Linked DNA regions of Arabidopsis thaliana. The protein of the gene in region 3 purifies or fractionates together with the protein of the main gene of each other region. This does not show direct contact. Each region holds a gene or a part of one and is shown on either strand. Other genes may lie near its edges. The genes, in order: PAE1, RPN1B, AT5G16070 and EMB2107.

Region 1 (5,817 bases), on a different chromosome or scaffold from region 3:
GGTGCCGAAGAAGAGTTTGAAGATGTTTGTGATTTATGTGAAGAGTGGAACTTATGTTGAGAATGTTGTGATGGATAAGAGTAAATGGAACGTTATGATTTACGGTGACGGCAAAGGGAAGACCATTATTTCCGGCAGCAAGAACTTCGTCGACGGGACTCCTACTTACGAAACGGCGACGTTTGGTGAGTCCTCTTCTTCCCTTGTTCCTTATTATTATCTTTGATTAAGTTGTTAAGATTAGTGAAGAGGTCAAATTTGATTTGGTTTAGGTAAGAACAAAAAAGACTTGACATTGTTACATAGTTTACCAATTTAGCTATGGTTGTTAAGTTTCTCTTTTGATGCAGCTATACAAGGCAAAGGATTTATAATGAAGGATATTGGAATCATAAACACCGCGGGAGCAGCAAAACACCAAGCTGTGGCATTCCGATCAGGCTCTGATTTCTCAGTCTATTACCAATGCTCATTCGATGGTTTTCAAGACACTCTTTACCCTCACTCCAACCGCCAATTCTACCGTGACTGCGACGTTACTGGGACAATCGACTTCATTTTCGGAAGTGCTGCGGTCGTTTTCCAAGGCTGCAAAATCATGCCTCGCCAGCCTCTTTCTAACCAATTCAACACCATAACCGCTCAGGGCAAAAAAGATCCGAACCAAAGCTCGGGGATGTCGATTCAACGATGCACTATCTCCGCAAACGGCAATGTGATTGCTCCCACGTATCTTGGCCGGCCGTGGAAGGAGTTTTCCACGACGGTTATTATGGAGACGGTGATTGGAGCAGTGGTTCGACCGTCCGGGTGGATGTCATGGGTTTCTGGAGTTGATCCACCAGCAAGTATTGTCTACGGAGAGTATAAGAATACGGGCCCGGGTTCAGATGTAACGCAGAGAGTTAAATGGGCTGGATATAAACCGGTTATGTCGGACGCCGAGGCTGCGAAGTTTACAGTGGCTACGCTTTTACACGGAGCTGATTGGATACCGGCAACAGGAGTGATCAATCAGCTATCTTAATATAGTGACAATACAATTGGATTCGTAGCTTGTTTTTGAAAACATCCGGTTGTGATCTACTTTATATTTGTTTGACACTTATGCATGATCTGTAATTTTTTCCAACATAGTTGTATTTTGTGTATCCCCTAATACGATATCTTCTTGATGTAGAACTATCAAAGCTACTCGCTTTTTGTAGCTCACACCTTGAACTCGAATTATAACACAACGATGATACTGTTACTAACCATTACTCACCTTCATATCCTTGTCATCGGGACATTGTCGACGATGTTACTAACAAACGGGATGATCATAAATCCGATAAAAATCTAATTATCTGATGGCGATTAATTAGGAGCCGGCTCCTAAACAAAAATCTAACTCAATACTAATCTATCCACACTAAACAAAACCAGAATAAACAAGATTAACTTGTGGAGCAAGCCAGAATAAATCTATCCATATAGTCAGGACAAAGCCAAGTCGAAGAGCAAGTAACAAAACGTAAGTGGTAGGAAAGGAAATTTTATAAGTCACAAATCCGAAAGGTTATTGAATGACATGGGAGCCAAAAGATTCTCTTACACAACCGACTAAAATGTGACATGATCCTCAATCTAACAGACAAAAGTAACAAGTTTTGTGACACAAGCTGATAGGTAAATTACCCAAATTGAGTTTTTTCAATCAAAGACGAGCGATGACTGCTTCGACTTCTTGTGGAGTGTAGAGATGATAAGCTGGTGCTACCTTGGCAATATCCACGTTATTTGGAGTCACCTATCACCAACCAATACAATTAGATTGAGCAAGAACTTCTGTTTACAGTTTTGGATTGTAAAATTTGTACCTTTTCTTCCATAACTTGCTTTAGGATAGATACAGCGATAGTCTCAGCTTCTTGTAGAGACAAATCCTGCAACAAGTTAATGAAACTAAAGGTTTTAATGGCAAATAAAGTGATGTAATCAAATAATTTATTGAAAAACAATTGGGAAAAAGTTCAAGTTACTTTGTTGAATTGCTCTTGAAGAGAGCTATCAGCTCCTTCAGAACCTGAACCAATTGCCTTTGCATTGCACTGCCAGAATGTTCCTGAAGGATCAGTGTAGTACCTGTAACAAGACAGAGTCATTTACAAGAAGATAAACTAACTTACACAAGTGAACCATTTCAGTAGAAGAAATCCAACTGAAGGAGAACTTACAAGCTTGGTCCATTTTCATCATGGCCAGCAATGAGAAGAGATACTCCAAACGGCCGAGACTGTAGTCACATTAATGACAAAGAGAATCAGTACACACAATACAACGACTAAATATGGATATCCAACTTATCAAGGTTTTGTTCTAATCAGTAATTCCAATTTTGATTATTACCATTGATTCTTCCTCTCCTTCACCAAACCGTAAAGCCAGATCACACAGTGCTTGTGTTGTGGACTCTACAGTCATCGGCTCACCATACGAGAATCTATGGTTCTGTACAAGAGCAAAAGAAGCCGTCAATAACACATAAAAGACCTGTTGAAGCTAAAAGAAAAGACCCTAGAGACAGAAACCTTACTTGAGTTTCAACTCTAGCATGCTCAACAAGTGTGCGCGCGTCAGCAATTAAACCGCTCATAGCACAACCAATATGGTCATCAATTTCCATAATCTTCTCCACACTGCTCGGTTCCTGGGGAAAAAGAAAAAGCATTTAACATATACTGAGAAAGCTAATATCACCATAACTAACATAGAAAGCTTATATGCTTCTGCTTGATCATATCATCAGATTCAATTCAAATTGTTCCAAAATAGTGAATCACAAGAAAAATTCTGAAAAACATAGAATTCAAAGTTAGCAAGCAAACCAGCAATGGCGACGTGATACGCTTCTCGACAGCAAGCACAACTCCTTCTTTTGTCTTTACTCCAATTGCAGTAGAACCAAGCTGCAACAAAATTCAACACTCATCAGAGTCTCAACAAAATTCAACAATCCCTTTTACAAATTTGAAATGCAAACTACATCGATTAAACAAGGAAATGTGAGCTAGAACTTGTGCAAATAAGCTAAAGCAATCAAAGAAAACCGTAAATCAACCATTACCCTTTCTTCAAAATTTCTCGATTTCCATAGGAAACTAACAAATTGAGGAATCGAAAAGTTACCTTGATAGCTTCAATGGCATATTCCACTTGAAATAGCCTTCCTTCTGGAGAAAAAGTGTTCACTCCTCTGTCATACTCAGTTCTTCGCACAACAAAATCAGAAACCACCATAAGCAAAACAAACGATTGAAGTAAAGGAAGAAAATTTCAATGAACCCAGAAGTAGATAGAGATACCTAGTGAGAAACATCTTCTTCTTCTCTTCCGATTTCGATCTGCAAAACCTCTTAAAGTCCTTCGCACAACGGAATCAAAACCCTAGAAAAACAACGGATCTGAGTTAATCCAGAGATTCAGAGAAAATAAAAATCATCACAATGAACTTGTTGAGAGTATAGAATCAAACCAGCTAATTGATCTGCGAATCGGAGAATAAACAGAAGCTTTTGCTCTCTTTTTAGCTTTCAAAGACGCACTTCTTCTTGAAGAACAAGTTAGATTGTTTCTAAACGCAGCGTTTTTTATAATGGGCTTTCATGGGCCTAACTATATTAAGCCTGGGTCACCCAATTAGGCCTTTCTTTGTATTTTTGAAAAATTATGAGACAGCTATAGAACTGACTGGAATTTGAACATGTTCCAATTTATCTCAATGTCAGAAGTTAAGTGTAACAATAAAAGAAAAAGACAAAAATTGGCAGTCCAGGTTATTATTTTTTTGCTGTACACAAATAAATGTTTTTTTTAGAAATAATTAGTTTTAGTGAATAAAACCAAACAGAAAAGTACAAAATAATTGAAAGAGTGTTGTCTCGTAAAAGTATGGGAACGATGAAAAGCTGTGACTTGTTGCGAGACTTCTTCTCCTTCCAGACGCAAAAGTTTGTCTTTGGTCAGTCTCTCTTATTTCTCTAAACACTTTTGCATGATAACAACTATTCGAATTTCGTTACTAAAAGACAACAAGAACAAAACTCCTTATATATATTAATGGAAATAGTCTTCACTAGTGTTTGTGTTTTTTCCTACCAATTTTAGAACTCCAAAAAAAAAAAAAAAACTTATATATTCTAGTGATTTGTTCTAGTACACTTATGTTTAGGTTTTGGTTTCGATCTCTTTCGATTTAGGCTTTAAAATTTCTGTTTTGTAATGTGTTCATGTTTCCCCTTTATAGGGTTTTAGACTCCAAAAAATTTACGTTTTCCTCCAGCTTTAGTTTTCAAGGACTTTTCTCTCGTACGTCGACTTTAGTTTCCGATGACTTTTCTTTCGTCCATCGGCTTAGCTTCCCTTGTTTGAAATTTGTATTTCACCATGGTTCCAAAACAAGTTTCAGATGAAAGAAAAAAAAAGTTCTAGTACACTTATTTTATACCACTCAAGTTCAACGCACAAAATTACAATTCTATGTTCAACTTTTTTTCGTTTAATTCTGCAAATTAATTTACAGAAAAAAATCCGTTTTTTTGAAAAGAAGTTTTGCGATTCGTTATTCCATATCGGCTTTTTACTTTCTTGCATAAACAATAAACGAACATACATGTTGATAATTGAAACACATAAACAGTAATTTCTTGTGTTTGTTTATGTGTATTTTACTCTCTTTTACTTTGACTGAGTTAATGACAAGTATTATTGCAAGGTAGACAACCACATGAGCTACGGCCGGTAACCAAATAGCCTCGGCGGTTTGTCAATTTCCTCGCCGTCTCGGCCGCTTTCTGCATCTGCTCAACATGTTGCTGCCTCGCCGTAGCTCTCCAATCTTCTGCTCTCCGGTGCACCATATCCATTCTCTTCATTAATTTCTCCTCTAAATTTGATCTCATCTTCTGTATTTTCACCTACAACAATAATTACCACCCCAAATATCACACATTAATTATTTAAAACTTCATCACTCAACTACATTTATGGACTATTAATTATGATTATATAGCTAGATAATTATGATTAATAGTTAATAATTAAATTTTAGTCTCCAAATTCTCAAGAGAGGAAATTACTAATTTTTTCACATGGGACTTGCACAAATTACAAGTACGACTATCATGTAGCTACTACATAACCACCAAAATCGCAGACATTAATTCTTGAAAATTAATCATTTCAATATAGCTACATTTATTTTTAAAGTTTAATCCAAATTATGTAGCTAGATGATAGATGATTGATAATTTAATCTAAGACTCCAATTTCCCAAGAGAGTAAATCAATCTTTTCACATGGGACTTGCACAAATTACAAGTACAGGCTACAAAGATGTCATCCCAATTTTAAAATTAGAAACTCAAAGACTTTTGCCTAATAAAGCAACAAAGACTAGTCAATGAAACTAAGTAAAGGACTCCGAACATTACTCTAATATTGGCGCGTGGCTCCACAATTCCGTTAGAACATAACAAAATCCGTATTTCTACACCGTATATCTCAACAAAATATACGTATACACATACACATACCTCAAGCTTTCTAGATTGAGCTTCGGCTTTAGCGTTTTCAAGATTAACCCATGCTTGAATTTTGGCCTCTTCTCTTTGATACCTTCAAAAAAAATTCAACTTTTCAATTTTCATAATTTCATCAAGATTTTTTTTTTCACCATCGTCAAGATTTTAAGTTCAGACCTTTGACAAAACTTGATCTTGTCGTCTTCATCATCCCATAAAGGAGCTTTAGATTCAGACACACTTCTCCTTAACT
Region 2 (8,904 bases), on a different chromosome or scaffold from region 3:
ATACTCTGGATGGATCACATTTGTGATCGGGATTGTAAGTGTACGGCCATCAAGGGTCGCTATGTTTGCGGTGTAGCCTGTTAAGGCATCAGCTAGTGAGACTTTCTGTGTGACAATCAGGTCGTTGCCCTCACGGGTAAACACTGGATGGGGTTTCTCGTCAATGATGAAGACTAGATCCGCTGGAATCACACCTGGATGCTCATTGCCTTTCTCTGGGAATGTGATCTTTGTGCCTTTCTTCCACCCGGGTTTCACTCCAATCGTTAGAATCTCTTCCACTTGCATTGCCTTACTGCATTTACCAGAAGACAGATATTAGATATTGTTAAGACAACAACTAGGGTCAGCTCAAATCAACAATTAACCATATGGAAGCTGGGGAATGTTGCAGAATCTAAAAGCTTGAAACTTTGTTTCATATATGTTCATCATACTTGGGACTTGGGAGGTTGTATATTTCTAAAACCATGCTCTAGGTTGACTAGTAGATAAGCCTAATAACAAAATGTTATAAGTGTGATCGAAATGGTATCTGAGTTCAATCACTTACCCGCTGACATCTACAATCTCCCTGGAGATCTTCATCTTCTTGGTGGTTCCTTTGTAGAGATCTTCAAGGCTACAAGGCAACTTGTTCTCGATAGGAGCCACTTTCCTAGCTGCAGCGTGATGATGATGATGGTGATGATGATGCATAGCTCCTCCTCCACCTGCTCCTTCACCAAACGAGGCATACATATCATCACCAAACATGCGGCTAGCGAATCTCTGCCCTCCAGTGCCACCACCACCGCCACCAAACGGGGTCGAGAACCCGAAAAACTCAGCGAATATATCATCTGCACTTCTCGGGTTGAATCTGAAAGACGAAGATCCATCTCCTGTTGAGAAGTAGGATGCTCCACTAGTAGCAGCATTGGGAGGTGGCACATTCCCTTTTAACCCTTCCTCACCGTATTGATCATATACAGCTCTCTTTTGAGGATCGCTAAGAACCTAATCATCTCACAACAAAAACCAACATTAGCCTCATAAAAGCCTGAGTCAAATCAAACAATCTTAGTATGTTCCTCATAATCCTAAGCTACACATTGACAAGTACAGAGTGCCTAAGAGGTTCTCAATAATCAATCACAGAGTTAAGAAAACGGATAAATCATGACTCAGAAGATCAGCAAAGAAAGCACAAATTAAGAGCTTTGGAGATAACCTAGCTTGCCCAAATATAAAGCAATCATCTTTTACTATATACTATGATTCGAATTACTCAGGGACACGAAATCTAAAAACCCCACGAACCAACACAACATCAAATCGTGAAATCAGACTAATTGCATCTCATATCAAAAATCAGAAACAAGTTCGTGACCACCGACAGTATCAAGGGAATGAAAATTTCTCAATAGAAATAAAAATCAAAACTTTAGGGACGATTTCAATAAAGCAAAAGCAGTGGAGGAATCAAACACATACATCGTAGGCCTCAGAGATCTGCTTGAACTTAGCCTCAGCGTCTTTTTTGTTGTTAGGGTTCTTATCAGGATGCCATTTCATAGCGAGTTTTCTATAAGCTTTCTTAAGGTCATCGTCGTTAGCGCTTCTATCAACCTGTAAAACCTTGTAATAATCAACTCCCATCTCACCTTCTTCTTCTTTGTCTTCTCTCTTTCGTTTCTTCACTTTTCCTGAATTCGATTAAACAAAAAAAAGGAATTGGTAATTTCTGGATTTCTTGTTCGTCTCAGGTCTCTTCTTCTTCTTTGGCTTAGTATATCTCGTGGAAGGTTCGAGAAAACACGATCTTTGTTTGTCTCCGTTGACGGGGAGGTGACGGTGTTTTAAATCACAGCTTTGCCATCTTGCCTCTTCCCTTCTCCATTTCTTTTCCTTTTCTTCTTTTATTATCGCTCAAGTAATTCAGATTCTCCCATTTATATTATTAATTATAAAAACAATTAAATGTTATTTCCTCTTTCATTATGTGAAGGTATATGTTTGAGTTCGACTAATATTGCTAACTTTACCATAAAAGAACATGTCGACTAAGACATGTAACGTATTTATATAAATGTTGCTATTATTATGTTGTTCGAATTTAAATCCGATCGAATTAGTTGCTTCGAATTTAAATTGATCAAATGTAAATCCGATAAAATAGATGTTTTTGGAGTCCTTTATTTTGTGATTGGCTATATCGCCCAAATAAAATAAATTTTAAAGTGTTGATTATATATAGAGATGTTTGCCAAAGACAAGGTGTTTTATATAGAGACCATAGTAGAATACTATGGCCCAATGAATAGCCCAATTTATTATGGGCTGAGCCCACAATGGAATTCTTGATCGAGGGGTAATCTTCTTCCGTATAAGTACTTTTTTTTATCTGATAGTATTTATTTTTTACAGTTGAACCTTTTTGCTACAGTTCCTGAAGAAAAGCATAGTTCTTCTCTAACGAGCCATTCCAGAGAGACTTAGGGTTTACGCGAGAGCTCATAAGATAGAAGCTGCTCGATTCTTCCGAGTTTTACGAATTTCGATACTCATTGTTTGGATTCGTTGATTTGATCAGGTGATAGTCTGACTTACAATGGCTCCAGTTCCGGATCCGAACAGTGTTGGCGGTGGTGCGAAGCGGGACGAAGCTACGACGAAGATTCCTTCTAAGGATTCCAAGAAGAAAGATGATAAAAAGGAAGAGGATCTGGTGAGTTTTCTTTATATCGATTTCGATTATTAGTTGGAATCGTGCTTAGCTGAGTTAGAAAGAATCCAGGGAGATCGGAAAAAACTCACGATTAAGCTGTAGATTTTCCGAGATGTACGGTTTAGCTGATATATTGTGAATGTCGCATTGCTATTTAGAAAGCGAGGTTAAGAAGTTGGTTAAATCCACATTATAACTCGTTCTGGGAAGATACAATTCTTGTTAGGGTTTAAGTCACATGGAGTTAAATTAATAGGAATCTTTTGTACTATGGCTATGGTTTTAGCTGGTTTGATTGGCAGCTGACTCAATTTGCATATGATGTTATTGTAGTCTGAAGAGGACTTGCAACTAAAGCAGAATCTGGAGCTCTATGTTGAGAGAGTTCAGGACCCCAATCCTGAGTTACAGAAGATTGCTCTTGAAAGCATGAGGTAGTTTTTGTATCTCTTAAACCCATCCTTGATTTGATTAGATGCAAATATTCTGATAATTTTCTATTGGAGTTTCTTTAATGGGCTTATGACACTTCTTTTGCTGCTTTTAGTGCTTTCACTGTTTTCATAGTCTAATCTTGATCGATCTCTTTTGGTATGTAGGAAGGAAATTCGTGACTCAACAAGCTCCATGACATCAGTTCCAAAACCCCTCAAGTTTCTCCGCCCTCATTATGGAGTTCTTAAAGAATTTCATGCAAAAATGGCAGAGTCTGATCTCAAAGTACGATTTCAAACATTTTAAGTCATTTCTCATCAACACCGTCTTAGTCGTTCTACTGAGTCTGGATTATAAGATCGCACTCGTTTTTGCAGAAAATGTTGGCTGATATACTTTCTGTCCTGGCACTGACCATGTCTGCTGAAGGTGAAAGGGTATGCTTTCTTGCTACTGTTGTAGGAGTTTCTTGCCTATTGCTATTTGCTTCACATTCATTTAACTAGATTCCCTTTTGTTTTCCTCTTATGATATGCCTTACCAGATTTGTGTTTTGTGGTTCTTGGTAGAATTTGACTTAAGCTATTTGTTGCTGATCCTTTGTTATGCAATACTCTTTCAGGAAAGCTTAAACTATAGGTTGAATGGATCAGAGAGTGACATCGGATCGTGGGGTCACGAGTATGTCAGGAATTTGGCTGGAGAGATTGCAAAAGAGTATACAATACGTCAGGTTAGTAAACAATTTGGTCTTTGGCAATGTTCTTTAGCTCGAGGAGTTTCACTCATATTCTGGCAACGTCATGGATATTATGGTTTGTTAATGAATATTATGACAATGGGCTCGTTACTGAATATGGTTATAATGCTCATTCTTTTTGTTATATCAGGGTGAAGAGTCCTCTATTGAAGACTTAATGGATCTTGTGCAGCAAATTGTTTCTTTTCACATGAAGGTGAGATCCTTGTCATTCTTACTTTTCTTGTAATAACAAGGGGTCCATTGTATATTAATATAAGTTTCATTGATAGGCGTGAAATTTGCGCCTCTTGTTTTGTTCACATTTTTGAAGGATTCCCTTTTGTTCTTTGCAGCATAATGCCGAAACCGAAGCTGTTGACCTTTTAATGGATGTTGAGGATCTTGATCTCTTACTTGAGCATGTTGACAATACAAATTTCAGGAGGACGTGCAACTATCTCACGAGTGCAGCAAAGTAATTTCAATATGTTTAGCTTATTCATTCGACTGGCGTTTCACCCTTAATTATGTTATTTTCATATGAGACAAGCTCTCATGAGCTTTGCTTGGTTATCTTGCACATTATCAGTCCCGTTGATATTGTATGTTTTTTTCCAGGTATCTTCCAGGACCAGATGACATGTTGGTTCTAGATATTGCTTACATGATCTACATTAAGTTTGCAGAATATCCAAACGCGCTGCAAATTGCATTATTTCTTGATAACATGCAGGTATGGTTCTAATCTTCATATAAAACTTAATATCCTCTTTCTGCAACATGGGAGCAGCTGGGAAAAGCTCTTCTTTAACTTATGTATTTTTCTTATGATATATATTTTTCCTTTGTGCAGTATGTGAAGCAAGTATTTACCTCATGTACCGATCTGGTAAAAAAGAAACAGTTCTGCTACATGATTGCACGTCATGTAAGTTCTTAATAATTTAAATTAGCATAAAGGTGCAGTACCTGATTTTTTATTTTCTTATATTTATTTTTCTCTTGTTATTTCTCCATGCAGGGTATGACCTTTGAGCTTGACCAAGAGATGGTTGCAAATGACGAAGACAAAGAAGCGCTACAGGATATTGTTAACAACTCTAAGTTGAGTGAAGGATATCTGACGCTTGCTAGGGATATTGAGGTCATGGAGGCCAAGACGCCTGAAGACATCTACAAGGTATATCAGTTTAATTGAATATTATGTCTGTTACTGGTTTATTTGGTTACAGGATATGTTTATGGAAGTGCCTCTTACCTGTCCACTGAAATTTGCAGGCTCACTTGCTTGATGGTAGGGCTAGCTCTGGTCCAAGTGTGGACTCAGCTAGGCAAAATCTATCTGCGACTTTTGTGAATGCATTTGTAAATGCTGGATTCGGCCAGGTATGATTACAGGATCTTAATGTGCAACATAAGAAGAACTTTGGAAGCTGCCCTTTTCATATATTTCCTTATTGCAGGACAAATTAATGACAGTACCATCTGACTCAACCAGTGGATCGGCTGGAAACTGGCTCTTCAAAAATAAAGAACATGGAAAGACCAGTGCAGTTGCTAGTCTGGTATACCTCATCTTACTTGATAAATTGATTAGCTATGTTTTTATTTTGGAAGTAAAATTGTAACACGAACTTGTTTTAACAACAATTCTAGGGTATGATTCAATTGTGGGATGTGGAGACCGGACTAGGTCATCTCGACAAATATTTCCATAGTAACGATAATCCCGTCGTTGCTGGAGCTCTGCTGGGAGTTGGGATTGTTAATTGTGGCATTAAGAATGATTGTGACCCTGTGAGTTTTTTTTTTTTTTTAATATGGGAACCTCTGTGTCACAATTTTTCGCCATTCATTCTCACTCAGCTCTCTTTCTCAGGCATTTGCCCTTCTTTCAGGTTATATTGACAATGAGGATTCATCTGTCCGAATTGGTGCTATTATGGGTCTCGGGATTGCATATGCGGGTTCCCAAAATGATCAGGTGAATACATGTTATCTTCTTACCTATGGTGCTAAGTTGAATGTTCTGTTGACGAGACAATAACATGCTCACTGTTTGGATAGATAAAAATCAGGTTGTCTCCAATACTAAATGATGCCAACGCACCTCTCGATGTGATTGCATTTGCTGCACTTAGTTTGGGGATGATTTATGTTGGTTCGTGTAACGAAGAGGTTGCACAATCTATTATATTTGCTTTGATGGATCGGAGCGAGGCAGAGCTGGGTGAAGCCCTCACTCGTTTCTTGCCTCTTGGACTTGGTCTTTTGTACCTTGGCAAACAGGTGGGCAGCCAGTCATACTTGATTATTTTTCTTGTTCGTGTACTTGATCGTTATTTCCCCGATTATTAGTTTTAACTTGTTCCAATATCGAGCAGGAAAGTGTGGAGGCTACTGCAGAAGTTTCAAAGACGTTCAATGAGAAAATCAGAAAGTATTGTGATATGACACTTCTTTCATGTGCATATGCTGGAACCGGGAATGTCCTTAAGGTATCTGATCAAGTGTGCTAGTGGTTGAATTAGATTATTCACTTCTTTCTAGTTTAGTCTGACTCTTCAAACTATTCAAACTATTCAGGTCCAAGACCTTCTGGCTCAGTGTGGAGAGCATCTGGTGAAAGGTGATATCCACCAGGGTCCAGCTGTGATTGGATTAGCTATGGTTGCTATGTCTGAGGAATTGGGTCTGGATATGGAGATCCGTTCTTTGGAGCGCGTACTACAGTATGGAGAGCAGAACATTCGACGTGCAGTGCCTTTGGCTCTTGGTCTCCTATGTATATCAAACCCAAAGGTGAGTATTATTTTTGCATATCTAGTTTTCGGCGGCGTGCAGTTACTTTTCTGCTTAAGAATACTGTTGTTACTCTCTAACTTTTTTATAATTCCAGGTGACTGTTATGGACACTTTGAGCAGACTAAGCCATGACACAGATTCAGAAGTTGCAATGGTGAGTTATCTTTTCGCCACTCATGGTTGAGGTAGAGTAGTTATTTCTTTGACTTGCTATGCAGCGTTGGACTGATGTTTCATCTGATTCCTACAGGCAGCAATTATCTCCCTTGGATTGATAGGCGCTGGAACCAACAATGCAAGGATAGCTGGCATGCTTAGAAATCTCTCCAGCTATTATTACAAGGATGCCAGCCTTCTTTTCTGTGTAACGTTTTATGATTTCTTTTTAAGTTTTCATGGAATAAACACGGTTTCTACTTATGATAGGCTTGTTCTCATTGTCTTAAGTCACAATGCAGGTGCGCATCGCTCAAGGGTTTGTGCATATGGGAAAGGGTCTCTTAACTCTCAATCCTTTCCACTCCGAACGGCTCTTGCTATCGCCGTAAGTTATAACATATATTTTATGTATACTTTGCTTTCAAAGCTCCACCTTGTGAATCCTAAACTTGGGTGTTGTATTTTGTACCTAGAACCGCACTTGCTGGTATAGTGACATTGTTGCATGCATGCCTTGACATGAAATCCATTATACTGGGGAAATATCACTATGTGCTCTACTTCCTTGTTTTGGCGATGCAGGTGAGTGCAATTTTCTGTCTGATGACTTTTTTTTTAATGAACTAAGTTTATCTACTAACACAATACGGTTTGAGTGTGTAGCCAAGGATGATGCTGACGGTGGATCAGAGCCTGAAGCCCATCTCGGTGCCAGTGCGGGTAGGACAAGCGGTTGATGTGGTTGGACAGGCAGGCCGACCTAAGACAATCACTGGGTTCCAAACGCACTCAACACCTGTTCTCCTTGCTGCTGGGGAGAGAGCTGAACTCGCAACCGAGAAGTATGTTGTTCCTCTAATCCCCTTGTTACATTATCCTACTCGAAATAAAACTCTGTTTTACATATTGGAATCTAAAAAAACTCTGCTTCTTTTTGGGTCACAGGTACATTCCGTTGTCGCCCATATTAGAAGGTTTCGTCATATTGAAGGAAAATCCAGACTACAGAGAGGAGTAAATCCAAAGTTGCAAGCATTTGAAGAAAGAGAGAGAGCCTTTGAATACTTTCACTACGGTTGTCAAAAGTTTTTTAGTTTATTCCCGTCTGTTCCCAGGAAATGGTTCACAATCTCTCCTTTTAAAAGAAAAAATAGCTTCATTGCAATATATAGGAACTTCTTGTGCACTACTTTAATATCGCATTCTAAAAGCTGGATAAGTTTCCAAATCCAATTCTCTTAACCTGCAACTCCTTCAAATCAACTCGTTCGACGTTTCTATAAACTTGGCTTATTGATTATGGGCTCTTTGGTTTGCTGCCCTGGAACTTCAAGTTCTTGGTTTGTACGCACTCCAACTTCAATTTGTGACATGCAAAGGCTCCTCTCGTTGTTTCCGGATTTGGCCAAAACTATGTAATATTATTAAAATGTTGAAAGGGTGACCCAGCTAGCCCGGCTACATATTTACAATTTTACATAGATGGCGTGCACGACTCACTTGTTTCCTCGGTGTATCTTTTTTTTTTTTTTTTGAATAAGTTCGTTCCCAAACATAAACCAGAAGTATAAAATCTTATTAAAATTAGCAACCAGCAAAAGCAAAAATCATGTACATGTATATTGAGGGTTTTAGTTTCTGTCACTAACTATATGAACTTTGCCTAAAGAAAAAAAAAACAAATAATGAAATAAATGAATGGAATACAGTTTTCACCGTTTGTTCTGGTATACATATGGGGTATATCGAGATTAATTAATCTCCTCCGGCCAGGAAAAAAAAAGTAAAAAAGGAAAATTTAATGGCCGCGACCTCTTGGACTTGGACCCGACGCCAAACGCTGAAACCAAGAATCCACCGTCGATTTCATCTTCTCCACCGTCATAGTCGCACTTCCATCTCCCGATTTTTCAGTAAGAACCCTCCCCGCCGCAGCCGGAACCACCACGTGTTCTACGAAAAACAACGACACCATCACAACCACAATCAAAACAGTAGACCAACTAACTCTTCTCATCGTATTTTACTTTCTCTTCTTTATGTTGTACCGACA
Region 3 (7,204 bases):
AAACGAGAAGCAGAAAAAACATTGTCGAAGTATGAGCAAGGAAGATCGGAACCGTACCTTGAGAAATGGGAATTTTCGAATTAGGGCTTTTGAATTCGAAGCGAAATTAGGGGAAGTGAGAAATTTGGGGGAGACGGTCTCGTGACCATTAAATGGGAAAAGAGTAAAGAGAGAGAGAGGGGCAACGACCCAATTAAAATACGACACGTGCTAATCTGTTGACCGTCAAAGGACTTAATTCTCGTCCATAATTTTAAATTGAAGTGGGTGAAATGTGACGAATCATAAGTTAATAAGGTCATTCATATAATACAAAAATATTAAGGGGGCAAAATGGCAATATAAGTTAAGTTTCCTTGGGGTAAATGACGGATTTACCCTTTGCCCTGAACCCATTTCTAGTCCCCTTTGCCCTTTTGATCGAATTGATCGGAGAAGGCCGGAAAAGCTCGAAGGTCCGTCGTCAATGGGTAGCTATGTGGAGCAAGCTCGTGAAAATCACGTGAAGAAGAAGGTCGAAGAAGGTAATTTGACAATGTCGTGACTTCTTCATCTCGCTATGTTTTAAAACCCTAAACCCCCAAATGGTTTTTTTATTGCCTCGAAAATGAGATCAACCATATCGATACTATTTAAGCCTGGTTTCTTATCATAGACGCAGATTCTTTTGCTAGATTGAGGATTAGGGTTCTCATAAACCCTTGGTAGTAACTCCATATTTTGCATCTGATCTAGCAAGCTCTCATTGAGTGTGTCAAATTGCTTCTATGAATTGAGCTTATAGATTGTGTTGAAGTTGAAATGGTGATGGTTTTTTTTTGTTAAATGGTTGTTTGATTGATTATGTATATACTTTGTTATTAGCGCTGCGTAGCAAGATGAAGGCAAAGGCATTAATGGAATGTGATCAGTACGTCTCCAAGTATGCTCAATGCGCAACAGGAAGAACTTTTTCTGTGGTATGGACATGTCGTAAGCAAGCTAGGGAGCTCAACACTTGCCTCCATCAATTGTAAGTTTTTCGAGTTTTTAGTGCTCCTTCCATTAGAGGTGTCATCTTTTTTTCACTGTTACGTATAAAGATTTGTTGTGTATGGGGGCATCTGATTTTGATTATTCTTTCTTAATACCCTTCACTGGTAAGTCTGATATGATGAAATGAGACAACTTGTGGTTAGGAGATGCATAACGTTATCATGACGTACCAGTGCTAGTATATATATGTAACCAAATATAAGCTTATAGAAGGGGATGATTGATGATTCTTTGATACTGCGATAAAAGAGAAGTAATAACTATCTTCTATATCGGTGTAGCACAGTCTTGTTCTTGGTGCACAAGTTCTTTTTATGTGACTCCCTAATGAACGTCTCCCTTGTTGGGCCGATGCTTAAATGTTGTCTAACCATGAAACTATTTTGTTGATTCTGCAGCACCAATGACAATGTCTTGGAGGAAATGAAGAGAGCGTATATGGTTCAAGAAGAGGGTAAAGTCTCAGCCTCGGCCATATAGATGTTTGTTGAACAAAAGATTTGAGTACGACCAATATAATGTCCTCGCTTTGTTTCTTGTTCATTGCGAACCAAAATATATCCTTTTTTATAAATAAACTGTGGCCTTTCTTAAATATGGGTGTATTCACTAAATCTAGAGATCAGATTCAAATAGATTTTGTATTACTATTTTTTATCATTTTGCAAAAGATCCACTACATCTAAAGATCAGATTCAAATATGTTTTTCATTGCCAAAAAGAAAAAAAAAACATATGTTTCACAATATTCAGGATTTACACCAAGAAACAAAATTTGAGGTGCTTACAAATTAGAAACCAAGTTAAAAGCAAAGGACTTCAAGCAGTAGGCTTCCTCATATTTCTGCCTGCACGAATCACTTCGTCCACCAAAAGTAATTGCGACGCAATCACTGGCCTGCAACACAAACAAATAGCCGGTTATTGAAATGGTTTCAACCGAAACCCAAAGCTTTTATTAGAATTGACTAGTTGGGTCGAACATTACCCTGAATTGATAAGTTGGCGTTTCACTGAGTAATTATCAAAAATACCAGCAAGCTGCGGGTCAATAGGTTCACCGTCCTGAAGGTTCAGTCCCACAACGTTCCCTTTGTCATGCTCGCTCTGCATAAGCGCATCACAATGAGCAATTCTAATTCTTTGTTCCTTCAACAATTGATTTCAGTTTGCAGAAGATGATAAGAGAGATGAATGCATACCGTAAGAGAAATGATCACATCTTGGGTATCAAGACCTGCATTTTCTGCAAGTGTCTTAGGCACCACGAGAAGGGCATTAGCAAAAGCTTCAACGCCAAGTTGGGCACGCTGCAATGTTCATGATAGTATTAGCAATTTAGAATATTGGGATGCATTAAGTAATGTTGCGAGAATTAGAGTACGAGTGAAGAAATCAACTTACCCCTTGAACGGTTTTCTTGACTTCATTGAGTAAGTGTTGCCTTGCTGCAACTTCAAAAGCTCCTGCTCCCTACAGAAACATGCAACCACACATTAACATAACGCAAAACATATACAATAGGTCTATATGCTAACCTTACCCAGGGTTTTGATCACGAATTAACAATTTCTTTGATATTGCGGAGAAACATAAAGCAATGTTAACAAAAAAACTTCAAGATATATAAGGTACTTACTAACACAACACACTCGTCTTCTATGGTGTTCTTGACCGATCTCAGACCATCACGAACAGCGTCCTTAATTTGGGCAATAGTGTGATCATTAGGCCCTACAAAACCCAAGAAATTCATGAATGAACACTAAAACTACTAAAAGAACAAATGAACCATCAAAACTTAATGAAGACATAAAAGTCGTCCTAATACCTTTTATGAGGATGGTACATGAATTAGGATTCTTCACTTGCTCCACAAAGGTGTACTTTTCCTCCCCAAGAACGTGCTCATAGACAAGTCCAGCCCATCCAAGAGACTCAGGGGTCAAGTCGTCAACAGAATTCACAGCTTCTCCACCACAGGCCAAAACTAAACGTTCCATGTTCCTCCTCTTTGCTCTTCTAAGACCAATAATCTGGACACATGAGGAAAGGTAATTAGATTCAACAGCTTCTAAACAAGAGAAATTAGGTACAAAAGAATAGACAAGCTCAGTCAGTGTCCCAGAACTAAAAACTAATGCTGCCAATCGTCTCCATGGATTATTGTATATCGAAGGAACTACTCTTTTAATATTACTGGCAATTTCAATTCACTTAATAACACATTCTTCCCTAGTATCTTTCTTCTTGTTCCTAAATATCACAATTTCAGCGATTTGTAACATAAGTTTAAATGCAAGAAAACACAGAAGTAGCTTACCCCTTCTCTAGCAAGAAGATCCAATGATGGTGGGTCAATACCCTTCTGATTTATGACAACAAAGTTGTCATTATCACCACACACCTGCACAAGAAATAAAACATGTATTAGTATTTTTTACAGGGTTTTAAAATAAAACTTGGAGAAATGGTCGCAGTCCCACCTTCTTCTTCAGCTCAATTATTTTCTTAACTCTTTCATCAACAGATCGCCTCTCTGCGGTAACCATGGCTTCCCTCTGCTCCGCATTAGAGTAGAAAAATCCTGCATTGATTTCACTGATAGATAAATAGAAATATTAGTCCACATCACCAGAAACATCCAGGCCTTTACTTTCTCTTCGCCAAATTGACCAAAGAATTATATTACACACCTCTTCTCATACTCTAGTGACACATTGCAAGTTAAGATGTGGCAATTTTCTGCGCGTCGTTTCATGTCAGGGTGTCTCGAACCATGATCCAGAACAAGCCCCTCAACCTAATTCAGAATTAAGTCAGTGTTTCCAACAGGTCCATACTATAAACCGGCAAGTATTTCATATATAAACCTATAATGAGGGAACTATTTTACAATAAATTAAGTCAAGACATACCAATCGTGTGTCAACATCGAATTTGTGACGCATGTGCATTATTTCCACCATAAACAGATCAATAGCTTCCTCAGGCTTTCGGATGCAAAGAACCTGTAATGTGAGGAAAGTAGATAATTAGAAGACAAACAAGCTCGAAAACCAATATTGGTGCATAGATGAGTCCTCATCTGTGTGAACAAAAAAAATGAAAAGAATAAGTGAGATTCCATTAGAGAACAGTTAACTCACCGAATTGACGACAATGTCAGTCAGTTGATCAGCTAAGCCTTCGTACAACTACACAATCCACAAGAGTAAATCGAAATTAGAAAACGAAAAGAAAAATCAAATGAAAAGAAAGATAATCATAAAATGAAGAATACTTTTGTTCTTAGTGTCGTTCTTGCAACCATTTTTAGGATCTCTTTATCAACTTCATCACCCATAACAACAGGGGTCTTGAAGTTGTCAAGAAATTGAAGAGTAGCTCTCTTAGCAATCTCGAAACCATCAACTAGGACTCGTGGATGCATACCTGATACAGTATAAACCTTCATTAGGATTCTGGCTACAAAACTAGATACCAGTTGTGCATTTTCTATACCCAATATAAACAAAACTTGGCAAATCAATGTCGCTGAATACAAATAGTTGGTCCCCACTAATAACACATAGATTGAGAAATAAAATAAAAACAAGCATATAGGAGTATAAAACTAACGAACTCTCAGCAAACAATTAGCGACTTACCTTCATCGATGCAGCGTTCAGACTGTTTCATAAGCTCACCAATGAAGATAACAGTGGAAGTAGTACCATCACCACTTATATCATCCTGTGCAACAGCTGTCCTCGCAATCATAATGGCTGTTGGATTCTGAATTTGCTGCAACAGTTAAGAAATCAGAGTGTAAGCATCATCGAACCAAGATAACTTGTAAAGGAGCATACCAGTAGCCCATATCAACACCAAAGATTATCCGGCAGTATCTTAATCCTTTCGTCTATCTTATCTAGCGTAGTACTAAATGACACAATTCACGGGCTTCTGAGCACCCTTCAACACTAAAAAGCCAAAACAGAGCTCGATTCTAACAGATCAATACGATCTAGATTGATTTTAAAAGATCAAACTCACCATTTCCTTCAATAGCGTGTTCCCATCTTTGGTAAGCTTAATATCCCCAGAACCACCAACAAGCCTGCATCGAGTGAGAAGCACATGAGGAATTTGAAGATAATGAACAGTATATACATAGATCAGATTAAATCAAGAGGATAAAATACATTTTGATTGTTCCTTTAGGACCGAGATTCGACTTGAGTACATCTTGCAAACCCTTGGCGGCGTTGATGGTCATATGAAGCGCCGCAGATTTGTTGAGAACCTCGGCATTAGGATTCAGAACTCGCACTGACATTTTCGATAACCTTTGGTGCACAGATTCAGGACACGAAGAGAATAACTTGAGACTGAACTAGAGAGCGAGCGAGAGAGAGGGAGAGAGCTTTAGGGCTTTCTTCTGGGTTTTAAAAGTGAAGCCGATGTTGAGAGACTCTAGTCGCTCTAGAGACTTTAATATTAACCTGAAATTACAAAATTTACCCAGATTATAATATGTTTTACATTTTTAGCCATATATTAATTGATTCTCTAAAAATCATATATTCTCCAACATTCTGCAATATTATTCCGATCATCATTTGAAGAAAGAAATTTAATTATAAACGTAATATAAATTTAGACCTAAAATTAGTTTTTTTAATTAATACTTAGTAAGAGTAATGGTATTTCAAAATTTGATTGATTTGATCATTTAGTTTTGTAGTCTATTTAGGATTAAAAACAAATTCGTTCGTTAGCAACTGGCTGATTTGACTATGCTTAAAACAATTTTCAGATGAACCATTGCGTTAGCTGAATAATCTATTATTGGAATCAAAATTCTAGTCAATGTGTAATATATGGCCCAACAGAACTAAAATAAAAACGGGTTGGGGATAGTGATGGTAAAATGGTTTGTGTTTTGGACCATTAACAACTTGGTATACACACACACACGTATCGAATTTAAGTTACAGATCTTGATACCAACTTTTTTATTTCCTTGTTATCAATAGTGATTCGTACCGAACAATCCATATGAAGAAAGCCCCGTCAAAAAGTGGAGGAAAAGAAAAGAAGAATAAATATCGTCTTCTTTTATGTATTTGGGAGTTTATGACCATACATTACTTGAGTCAATTCCTTTTTTTGACTCGATTCCAAAAAAAAAAATCGTGTGAAATGTACAAAAACCTAACCTCGTGGATAAATAAGCAATATCTAGATACATAGTTAAATATTACAGTGAAAATAGCTTACACTCAAAGATTTTAAGCAAAAGATTGAGTAAGTAGTACAAGATTTATATATCTTGATGGCTGACCTTTATTATTTTAAAAACTGTAATGAAATAGTACATTTTTTATCCACTACAACATTTTATAGTTGTATGGTCTCTGTCACGAAGGCAAATTTATCAAAGTCAACTATGAGAAAAATTATTGAAGTGCTAGAAAACAAAAGGTAGATTCTAATTTCCAACTCTTTTCAAAATAAATTTTTTTAGTAAAAGAAAAAAAAAACTATCTTTCTCATAAACAAAATAGGAAATAAAATTACAGTGGTCAAGCTAAGATTATATTCAAGCATTGGATACATAACTTAACTTAAAAGTACAAGTCCATCTATTGTATTACATAATTTATACTATTCACCTTCACTGAAAAAACACTACAAAGCAAAGCTTACTTTAATCCACAATAAAAACACAACATTTCAAGTTTTTATCTCTTATTATTTTTCAAGAACAACATTTTAAATCAATTAAAGGTTTCAGAAAAAGGTCTTTAGGGAATTATTATGATGGATGTATGAAGTTGTGAAGACGACACATCATGTCGTGGATTCGATCACGTGACACCGACGAGTTGTCGAGAATATGAAAAGCGTGACCAACACCTCCATGAACTATACCTTCAACTCTCTTCCCATGGCTTCTCATCACTTTACACATCTCCAAGTTTCGTTCTTTTAGTATATCAAACTCCGCCATGAACACCATCGTCGTCGGTAACTTCGCTCCCGCCGAGCTCATCAGAGGGTTACACCATGGATGGTCTCTACTCGCTCCACGTGGCAGAGCTAGACGCCAATATGCGTCGGAAGCTGAAAGAGTAAGCGCCGATGACTTGGTGTGATGTTGTTGTTTCTCCGAAGACGTTCT
Region 4 (6,847 bases), 2.2 Mb from region 3:
TTGTAACGGTCAGGTGGTTGCTGCGGATAGAGTGTAGGAGACTGCATGAGATTGTGTTGCGGTAATGTGTTATATTTGTAAGCATCTCCTTCCCTTAGGCTGCAAAATTCAAAAGACCAAAACCCGATAAAGAAAAGAAATCCGATTTTTTTTAGGATGATAAATATATATACCTTGTTCTTTTATAGAACTGATCTTCATCACTTGTGCCCTCATCTAACCGCTGGGAAGGTGCATGGGAAAGAGACCATGCTGAAGAAGGCGACGGTAGTTCGTCTGAGAAATATCTTCTTCTTATCAACTGAAAACGAAAAACGTTCATTAGGTTGAAGAGAAAGAGAGAGAGGGAGAGAGCTATTGTAAAACATGGCAAGGTCAGAAATGACACCAACCATATGGAAAATTTTGGTCAGAGCTTCTTTGTCATATCTAGCTTCCTTGGCAGCCTGTGCATAATTTTACCAAAATTATATGACATACCGCATAACACTAAATTCAAATAAAGCAAGTAATTTAGTCTGTGGTTACCATTATGAGACCAACATTGCTAGGGAAGCTCTCAGAGAGAGGAAGTTCATCACTATGGGGAAGCAGACCCTGCTTCTCAACCCAATGACGAGCTGCATCAACAAGATTGCCACTGCTTCCATTTGTTCCTCCTTTGGCAGCAATATCAGCTTTGTTTCCAATAACGATGTATGGGACGGGAAGACCACCAGGCCCACCAGAAGAAAGGGGAGCTGAAAACTCCCCAGTTACTGAAACTTCACCCGCCCATTTCTGCAAATTAGTTTTTGTAGTCCTTTGCGAAAGATCATGAACAAAAATAACTCCTGCATAATCAAACAGTCGCATCAGTGACAAAACAGGGACAGAGATGACATTTGTTGAGACAGACCATTGATTTGTGAATAGAACAGTGAGCGGCAATCTTTGTATCGTTCATGACCTGAAACATCCCAAAGTTCGACGAAGAAATCTCTCTCTGAGTCACCTTTAATGATACTTGAAGAACTAGCAGGACTTGCGTAAGTTAAGTGCTGCACCAAAGAGAGTTCCAGAAACTAAGTAGGGAAACTTATCCCATGCTCTCTTTAACCATATCGAGAATTTTTTTTATAGAACAGCTTAAGTTACCTTGACACCAACTGTACATCCAATAGTTTGAGATGGGCGAACAATAGAGGAGCCTTTGACAATGAGATGCACAAGAGATGATTTTCCCACACCTAATTTGATATCCAGAGATAAAACTTTGCTCAATAGTGGAGAAGATGTAGTAGACTTACGAAACTTGACTCTTATTAGGTTCCACAAGTAGAAACTCATATCCAATCATCATGAGAAATCTTCTCATTAGCTCCTTCTTTAAGGATGAGTTTGTGCACTACGACAAACTTTCTTTAGTTCCATTAAATGGCTACTTAAAAAGCTAGAACCATTACCAAATCTATGGAAACGAGAATTTGTTAATATTACCTGAATCACCAACCACCAATACTCGAATTTGGCCGCATAATGGCGCTACCATATGTTCCTTATTTTCCCTGCCACGTTCCCTCCAAAACCGCATTTTGATTACTCCAGCAAAATCGGCACTGCGAAATTAAGTCCCATAGTCGCGTCTTCGACCAAAAGAGAAGCTTCCAGAAATCATCATTTCGAAACTCTGATTCCTAGCTGTAAGCAGATTATTCTAATCCATCACCTTGCACATTGCAAAACAGAGTCTCGGCTACAGTTCCTTCACCTTCCTAGTGCAAATAATCTCTAGAGCACAAATCGAAACCAATACCGAAGTTAACACAATTGATGGAGGTAAGCAGCGAATCTAAGGAATATGTAAGAGGATCAATATTCGAATTCTAAGAGCGTAATAAGAGTTTCACAGAAGTAAGATTCACCTTCTTCCTCCTTAACGTTCTTCTCCTCGATGAAAAAAATTCAGAAAAGATCTTTCCAGTAATCAAGGTAAACCATTGAATCTCGAGACAGGGAGTTCTCGATCGACATTATAGAATCTCTGGTTTCGCTACGAAAATTCGAAGATATCATGAGATTTGGGCGGAAGAACGAACGACGTGAGTTTGTTCAATCAATGGGATCGGTTCGATACTTCTGAACCAACACCATACCATATAACTAGACCGGTATTACATACCAAACCTGATTGACTCAAAACAATTAGTTAATGGCCCATTAGCAGCCCATGTAAAAAGATCCATCGGCCGAAGAATCTGAGATTTCTTGTTCAAGGGGTTGGGAACTCTGCGAATTATCTGTGCTCAGCTACTCCCAAAAGCTCTCTCATCTCTCTCGTCCGTCTCCTCTTTCTCCATAGTTTAAAGCTTCGTCGTTCCGTCACCAGAATTTCAACTACTTTGAGTTGATTCTCGTTGGATTTCTCACGATGGCGAGTCTTCAATTACTCAGATCTGATATTAAGTTTTTTTCTCGTTTTCGAAATTTTTGCATCTTCTCATTCCGTCATAGTTTGTATTTCAGGGAGACAGCGGGAAGCTTGAGGCAACGATAGATCGGCTTCTGAATGAAGAGAAGCAGATGAGACTCGCCGAAAACGTAGCCGGTACAAGGAAAGCCGCCACTGAGATTCTTCAGCTTTGTTTCGATGCTAAGGATTGGAAACTTCTGAATGAGCAGATTCTCAATCTCTCTAAGAAACGTGGTCAGCTCAAACAGGTACTTGGAATTTTGGTTATATCCTATCAGTGTTTGTGGTTTAAGCTCTTAAGGAACATGAACTTTTGGTTTGGGATAATTTGAAGGATTTGTTTAAGTTGGATATTTTGTTTGAGTTTTGAATGTGATTTGTTCCACATTTGACTTAGGAATTGCATAGGCCTAGTTTTTGGTAACCCTAATCTTGGAAAGAGATTAAGGACATTAGCACAAATTCAGGAGGATTCGACTTTGTGTTGGATACAAGCTTCTTTTTGTGGGATGTTGTCCTGTGATAGGTTGCTTTTACGATTCCTCTCTATGATTTTGATAGATTCACTGTTGACTCAAATATTAAAGCTAAATTGGGTCATTGCAGATAGTGATGTTTGTATTTAGTTCAGTTTATTACTTAACTTAGTTTGATTTTCAGTGTTTCGTTGGTTTTACTTTTGCTTTGCGTGTTTTCTTGGTCTAGTTACTTCAGACAGAATTAGCTTCACCTTTCCATGTACAAAATTATAGTTAAAAGTAAGGATACAAAGTGATAAGTCAACATCACTGATTTTTTTTTTGTGAACTTCTCCACTTGCAGGCTGTGCAATCCATGGTGCAGCAAGCAATGCAGTATATCGATCAGACACCAGACATTGAAACTCGGATAGAGCTTATCAAGACGCTGAACAATGTATCTGCTGGAAAGGTGCGAAACTATGAAACTGATGGTGTATTCTTTATAATAACTTCATCATTCTGTGTAATTGTTTACCATTGCATTTTACATGTATAGATATATGTTGAAATCGAGAGGGCACGTCTCACCAAGAAACTTGCTAAGATTAAGGAAGAACAGGGTCAGATAGCTGAAGCTGCAGATCTTATGCAAGAAGTTGCTGTAAGATTTTGTGCATTTGGCTATTAAATCTCCTGGAAATTTTCTTCCCTTGTTAACCCCTGCAATTTGATAAATAATTAACAGGTGGAGACATTTGGTGCTATGGCAAAAACTGAGAAAATTGCATTTATCCTTGAACAAGTAAGGACTTGTGTAGTTACGTTGCAATTAATAATTTGCTGGTGTTTTCTTTCATTGTGATAACTATCAAACTATTGTGGTCAAACTTTAAAGGTTCGCTTGTGCTTGGATCGTCAAGATTTTGTTCGTGCACAAATCTTATCTAGGAAGATCAATCCTAGAGTTTTTGACGCAGATACAAAAAAAGATAAGAAGAAACCTAAGGAAGGTGATAACATGGTAGAAGAGGCTCCTGCTGATATACCAACCCTTTTGGAGCTTAAGCGAATTTACTACGAGCTTATGATTCGGTACGGCCTTCTTGAGCTTCTCTATCACATTGTTCGTGATTTGTATTTCCATCATTTATCATGGCATTTTAAATTCTTATATGACTGTTTAATTATGGACCTCTCTCTCTGTCTCTTAAATTCTATCAATCTGTGTGGCTTTTGCTTGCTATGGTTTTCTCAGAGATGCATATTACAACTTTTTCCTGGAGGACAGTATCGAAATTTGGATGAATCTCCTTTTGTGTCAAATTTATGACTCTCTTTTCATGGCCAACGATTTTGGACATCAATTGCATTATGTTATCCACTGAATTCTGACGTACCATGATTGATTTCTGTGGCATTCTCATCTTTTTTATTATTAACCATAAAAAATTTCAACTATGTAGGTACTATTCTCATAACAATGAGTACATTGAAATCTGCCGTAGCTACAAGGCGATATATGATATCCCTTCAGTAAAAGAAACTCCGGAGCAGTGGATTCCGGTAAGCTCATGCCGTTGATTGGATGTATAGTTAGTATACATTCTATAGGGTTAGTGTAATAACTTTCTTTGATCTTCAAAACATTAGGTCCTGAGGAAGATCTGCTGGTTCTTGGTCTTGGCACCTCATGACCCAATGCAATCAAGCTTGCTCAATGCAACTCTGGAAGACAAGAATTTATCAGAAATCCCTGATTTCAAGTATATTTTATTTTCTGATAAATTTTGTTATTTCAATAACTGATTCTTTTGTACTCAAATGGGTTCTCAGTCTTTTTTTCTTTGTTTGATATCACCCGTTTCAGGATGCTTCTAAAACAGGTAGTGACAATGGAGGTTATTCAATGGACATCTCTGTGGAACAAATACAAGGATGAGTTCGAGAAAGAGAAAAGCATGATTGGAGGTTCTTTGGGTGACAAAGCTGGTGAAGATCTGAAACTGAGAATCATCGAACATGTAAGTCTCTCAATTTGTCTTTAAGCTTGTTTACATAAGTTGATTGATGCTTTAAAGTTATTAATTTATTCTGCAGAATATCCTCGTTGTCTCAAAGTACTACGCAAGGATAACCTTAAAGAGACTTGCCGAGCTTTTATGCCTGAGCATGGAGGTATGTTTGATCTAATCTCACTGGCTATATCAACTATGCTTCTGCTTGTTATAATTGTTGGAAATTGTGATTTCAGGAGGCGGAGAAGCATCTATCGGAGATGGTAGTGTCAAAAGCACTGATTGCAAAAATAGACAGACCATCTGGAATTGTGTGCTTCCAGATCGCAAAGGACAGCAACGAGATTCTAAACTCGTGGGCAGGGAATTTGGAGAAGCTTCTAGATCTTGTGGAAAAGAGTTGCCACCAAATTCACAAGGAAACCATGGTTCACAAAGCCGCTCTCAGACCTTGAAAACATGCGGTCTTCTTCATGAAAACTTTTCAGGATCTTCTTCGTTGAGTTATTAGCATCTTTATGTGGTAAAAACTCGAATCAGTGTTTCCTTTTAAAAATTGTACTATGGATCTGTACACTAACGAAGTGTTTTGCCACTTATTGGTTATTTCAAGTGTTGGTGGATTAGTTTTTGGTTAAATTGTTAGAAAATTTACATGAATTTACTGAACGAGAAGAATAATCTCGTGTGTGCCCCAGGAGATAGATCCAAACCTTGCGCTGACAAAAAGTCAGACGATAAAAAATTGCTTCATCAAAGATTGCAAGTTAATAATAAAAACTAAAATTATGATGGCACTGGCACATGTATAGTCTTCCATACTCTAAAAAAAACTAATAAAATTTGTTTATTGTTGTTAATTAATGTGATTAAATTTAATAGAGAGGAGACAGCTTTGCCAGTTCATCTCTGGTAAATAGTCCACGTTCTGGCGTCTTTGGGATTTCACCAACACCGTGACAGCTCCTTAGATCTCTCCTCGATTACTTCCTTTTTAATTTCCATGGCTCTCTAAAAATCTCTCTCTCTTTCTCTCTCTCTTACTTGTATTGTTACGATCTCTGCTTGAAGATTATGGACGGCGCCGATGGAACCGTTCGCGTCAAGCCTGGTCGCGGATTCGAAACGGAGACGGATGTTGCGGTTTCGTCGCCAGTGACACGTCAGAAAGCTGCTGCAGCTAAGCAATTCATCGAGAATCATTATAAGAATTACTTGCAAGGCTTGCACGAACGAATGGAGAGGTTTGGATTCGGGATTTTTGTTTGTTTTCAAATCTGATCTGGTCTTTGCTTCATTTCGAAAGATGACTTGTGTTTGACTTGAGATTTTTTTTGAAAATTACAGACGCAGGGAGTTTCAGAGGAAAGTGCAAGAAGCTCAGTTACCTGTTGAGGAACAAGACGAGATGATGAGGAATCTGGCTCGTCGTGAAACTGAGTATATGAGACTTCAGAGACGTAAAATTGGGATTGATGATTTTGAGCTTTTGACCGTTATTGGCAAAGGTGCCTTTGGTGAGGTACAATATCACATTCTATTTCCTAAATCGAGCTTGTTTATACAGAGATCTATGCGTTTCTCTAGAAATTGACTACTTAAGGAATCGATTACTCTTCAGGATATCTTGTAATCTCTGAAATTGTGTTTTCAGGTTAGATTATGTCGTTTGAGATCTACATCTGAAGTTTATGCCATGAAGAAATTGAAAAAAACTGAGATGCTTAGCCGTGGACAGGTACAAAAATCCCCTCTATTTTTGTTGTTTGAGAATAGTAGTACTAGCAAGTGCAAGATTGATGCCTGATATGAGCTGATAAACTTCGTACCTTTTTCTTATCATTTGACTGGCTTCACTAGGTTGCTTGCAGTTTTTGTGCTTGTGAAGAAACAAGTGAATAATTGGACACTTTTTCCTT

What was found.
Region 1: the proteins of AT5G16070 (region 3) and PAE1 fractionate together in Arabidopsis thaliana (co-fractionation; one large-scale study listed by BioGRID). This does not show direct contact.
Region 2: the proteins of AT5G16070 (region 3) and RPN1B fractionate together in Arabidopsis thaliana (co-fractionation; one large-scale study listed by BioGRID). This does not show direct contact.
Region 4: the proteins of AT5G16070 (region 3) and EMB2107 fractionate together in Arabidopsis thaliana (co-fractionation; one large-scale study listed by BioGRID). This does not show direct contact.

The regions. Positions count from the first base shown.
Region 1 is NC_003070.9:20,102,432-20,108,248, forward strand, and holds PAE1 (20S proteasome alpha subunit E1), read right to left. Parts: upstream 3,647-5,817; 5' UTR 3,518-3,646; exon of another isoform or gene 3,430-3,517; 5' UTR 3,362-3,429; coding exon 3,348-3,361; intron 3,254-3,347; coding exon 3,172-3,253; intron 2,952-3,171; coding exon 2,871-2,951; intron 2,693-2,870; coding exon 2,579-2,692; intron 2,494-2,578; coding exon 2,392-2,493; intron 2,279-2,391; coding exon 2,220-2,278; intron 2,128-2,219; coding exon 2,025-2,127; intron 1,929-2,024; coding exon 1,863-1,928; intron 1,793-1,862; coding exon 1,700-1,792; 3' UTR 1,325-1,699; downstream 1-1,324. Other genes in the region: PME1 (pectin methylesterase 1), read left to right, coding at 1-185, 351-1,027; AT1G53860 (Remorin family protein), read right to left, coding at 4,734-4,958, 5,577-5,658, 5,742-5,817. UniProt on the Arabidopsis thaliana protein: The proteasome is a multicatalytic proteinase complex which is characterized by its ability to cleave peptides with Arg, Phe, Tyr, Leu, and Glu adjacent to the leaving group at neutral or slightly basic pH.
Region 2 is NC_003075.7:14,066,047-14,074,950, reverse strand, and holds RPN1B (26S proteasome regulatory subunit S2 1B), read left to right. Parts: upstream 1-2,368; 5' UTR 2,369-2,593; coding exon 2,594-2,710; intron 2,711-3,043; coding exon 3,044-3,144; intron 3,145-3,309; coding exon 3,310-3,430; intron 3,431-3,522; coding exon 3,523-3,582; intron 3,583-3,767; coding exon 3,768-3,878; intron 3,879-4,035; coding exon 4,036-4,101; intron 4,102-4,240; coding exon 4,241-4,362; intron 4,363-4,505; coding exon 4,506-4,620; intron 4,621-4,740; coding exon 4,741-4,815; intron 4,816-4,908; coding exon 4,909-5,067; intron 5,068-5,165; coding exon 5,166-5,273; intron 5,274-5,350; coding exon 5,351-5,452; intron 5,453-5,543; coding exon 5,544-5,684; intron 5,685-5,766; coding exon 5,767-5,871; intron 5,872-5,954; coding exon 5,955-6,176; intron 6,177-6,271; coding exon 6,272-6,385; intron 6,386-6,473; coding exon 6,474-6,689; intron 6,690-6,786; coding exon 6,787-6,846; intron 6,847-6,942; coding exon 6,943-7,056; intron 7,057-7,150; and 9 more. Other genes in the region: AT4G28480 (DNAJ heat shock family protein), read right to left, coding at 1-295, 554-999, 1,477-1,641; AT4G28460 (uncharacterized protein), read right to left, coding at 8,650-8,868. UniProt on the Arabidopsis thaliana protein: Acts as a regulatory subunit of the 26 proteasome which is involved in the ATP-dependent degradation of ubiquitinated proteins.
Region 3 is NC_003076.8:5,245,695-5,252,898, forward strand, and holds AT5G16070 (TCP-1/cpn60 chaperonin family protein), read right to left. Parts: upstream 5,486-7,204; 5' UTR 5,357-5,485; coding exon 5,223-5,356; intron 5,138-5,222; coding exon 5,074-5,137; intron 4,822-5,073; coding exon 4,686-4,821; intron 4,471-4,685; coding exon 4,319-4,470; intron 4,233-4,318; coding exon 4,185-4,232; intron 4,047-4,184; coding exon 3,954-4,046; intron 3,839-3,953; coding exon 3,732-3,838; intron 3,637-3,731; coding exon 3,522-3,636; intron 3,443-3,521; coding exon 3,359-3,442; intron 3,072-3,358; coding exon 2,867-3,071; intron 2,770-2,866; coding exon 2,675-2,769; intron 2,509-2,674; coding exon 2,440-2,508; intron 2,346-2,439; coding exon 2,238-2,345; intron 2,143-2,237; coding exon 2,024-2,142; intron 1,934-2,023; coding exon 1,855-1,933; 3' UTR 1,660-1,854; downstream 1-1,659. Other genes in the region: AT5G16060 (Cytochrome c oxidase biogenesis protein Cmc1-like protein), read left to right, coding at 467-524, 865-1,012, 1,434-1,515; CXE17 (carboxyesterase 17), read right to left, coding at 6,839-7,204. UniProt on the Arabidopsis thaliana protein: Molecular chaperone; assists the folding of proteins upon ATP hydrolysis. Known to play a role, in vitro, in the folding of actin and tubulin.
Region 4 is NC_003076.8:3,087,998-3,094,844, reverse strand, and holds EMB2107 (26S proteasome regulatory subunit, putative (RPN5)), read left to right. Parts: upstream 1-2,249; 5' UTR 2,250-2,410; coding exon 2,411-2,413; coding exon of another isoform or gene 2,414-2,417; intron 2,418-2,505; coding exon 2,506-2,700; intron 2,701-3,274; coding exon 3,275-3,382; intron 3,383-3,469; coding exon 3,470-3,574; intron 3,575-3,658; coding exon 3,659-3,715; intron 3,716-3,808; coding exon 3,809-4,005; intron 4,006-4,376; coding exon 4,377-4,476; intron 4,477-4,563; coding exon 4,564-4,676; intron 4,677-4,780; coding exon 4,781-4,938; intron 4,939-5,010; coding exon 5,011-5,088; intron 5,089-5,164; coding exon 5,165-5,439; 3' UTR 5,440-5,567; downstream 5,568-6,847. Other genes in the region: AT5G09910 (Ras-related small GTP-binding family protein), read right to left, coding at 1-99, 174-301, 393-446, 529-833, 899-1,040, 1,138-1,229, 1,480-1,573; AT5G09890 (Protein kinase family protein), read left to right, coding at 6,003-6,172, 6,276-6,450, 6,583-6,666. UniProt on the Arabidopsis thaliana protein: Acts as a regulatory subunit of the 26 proteasome which is involved in the ATP-dependent degradation of ubiquitinated proteins. Required for gametogenesis and sporophyte development. Acts redundantly with RPN5B.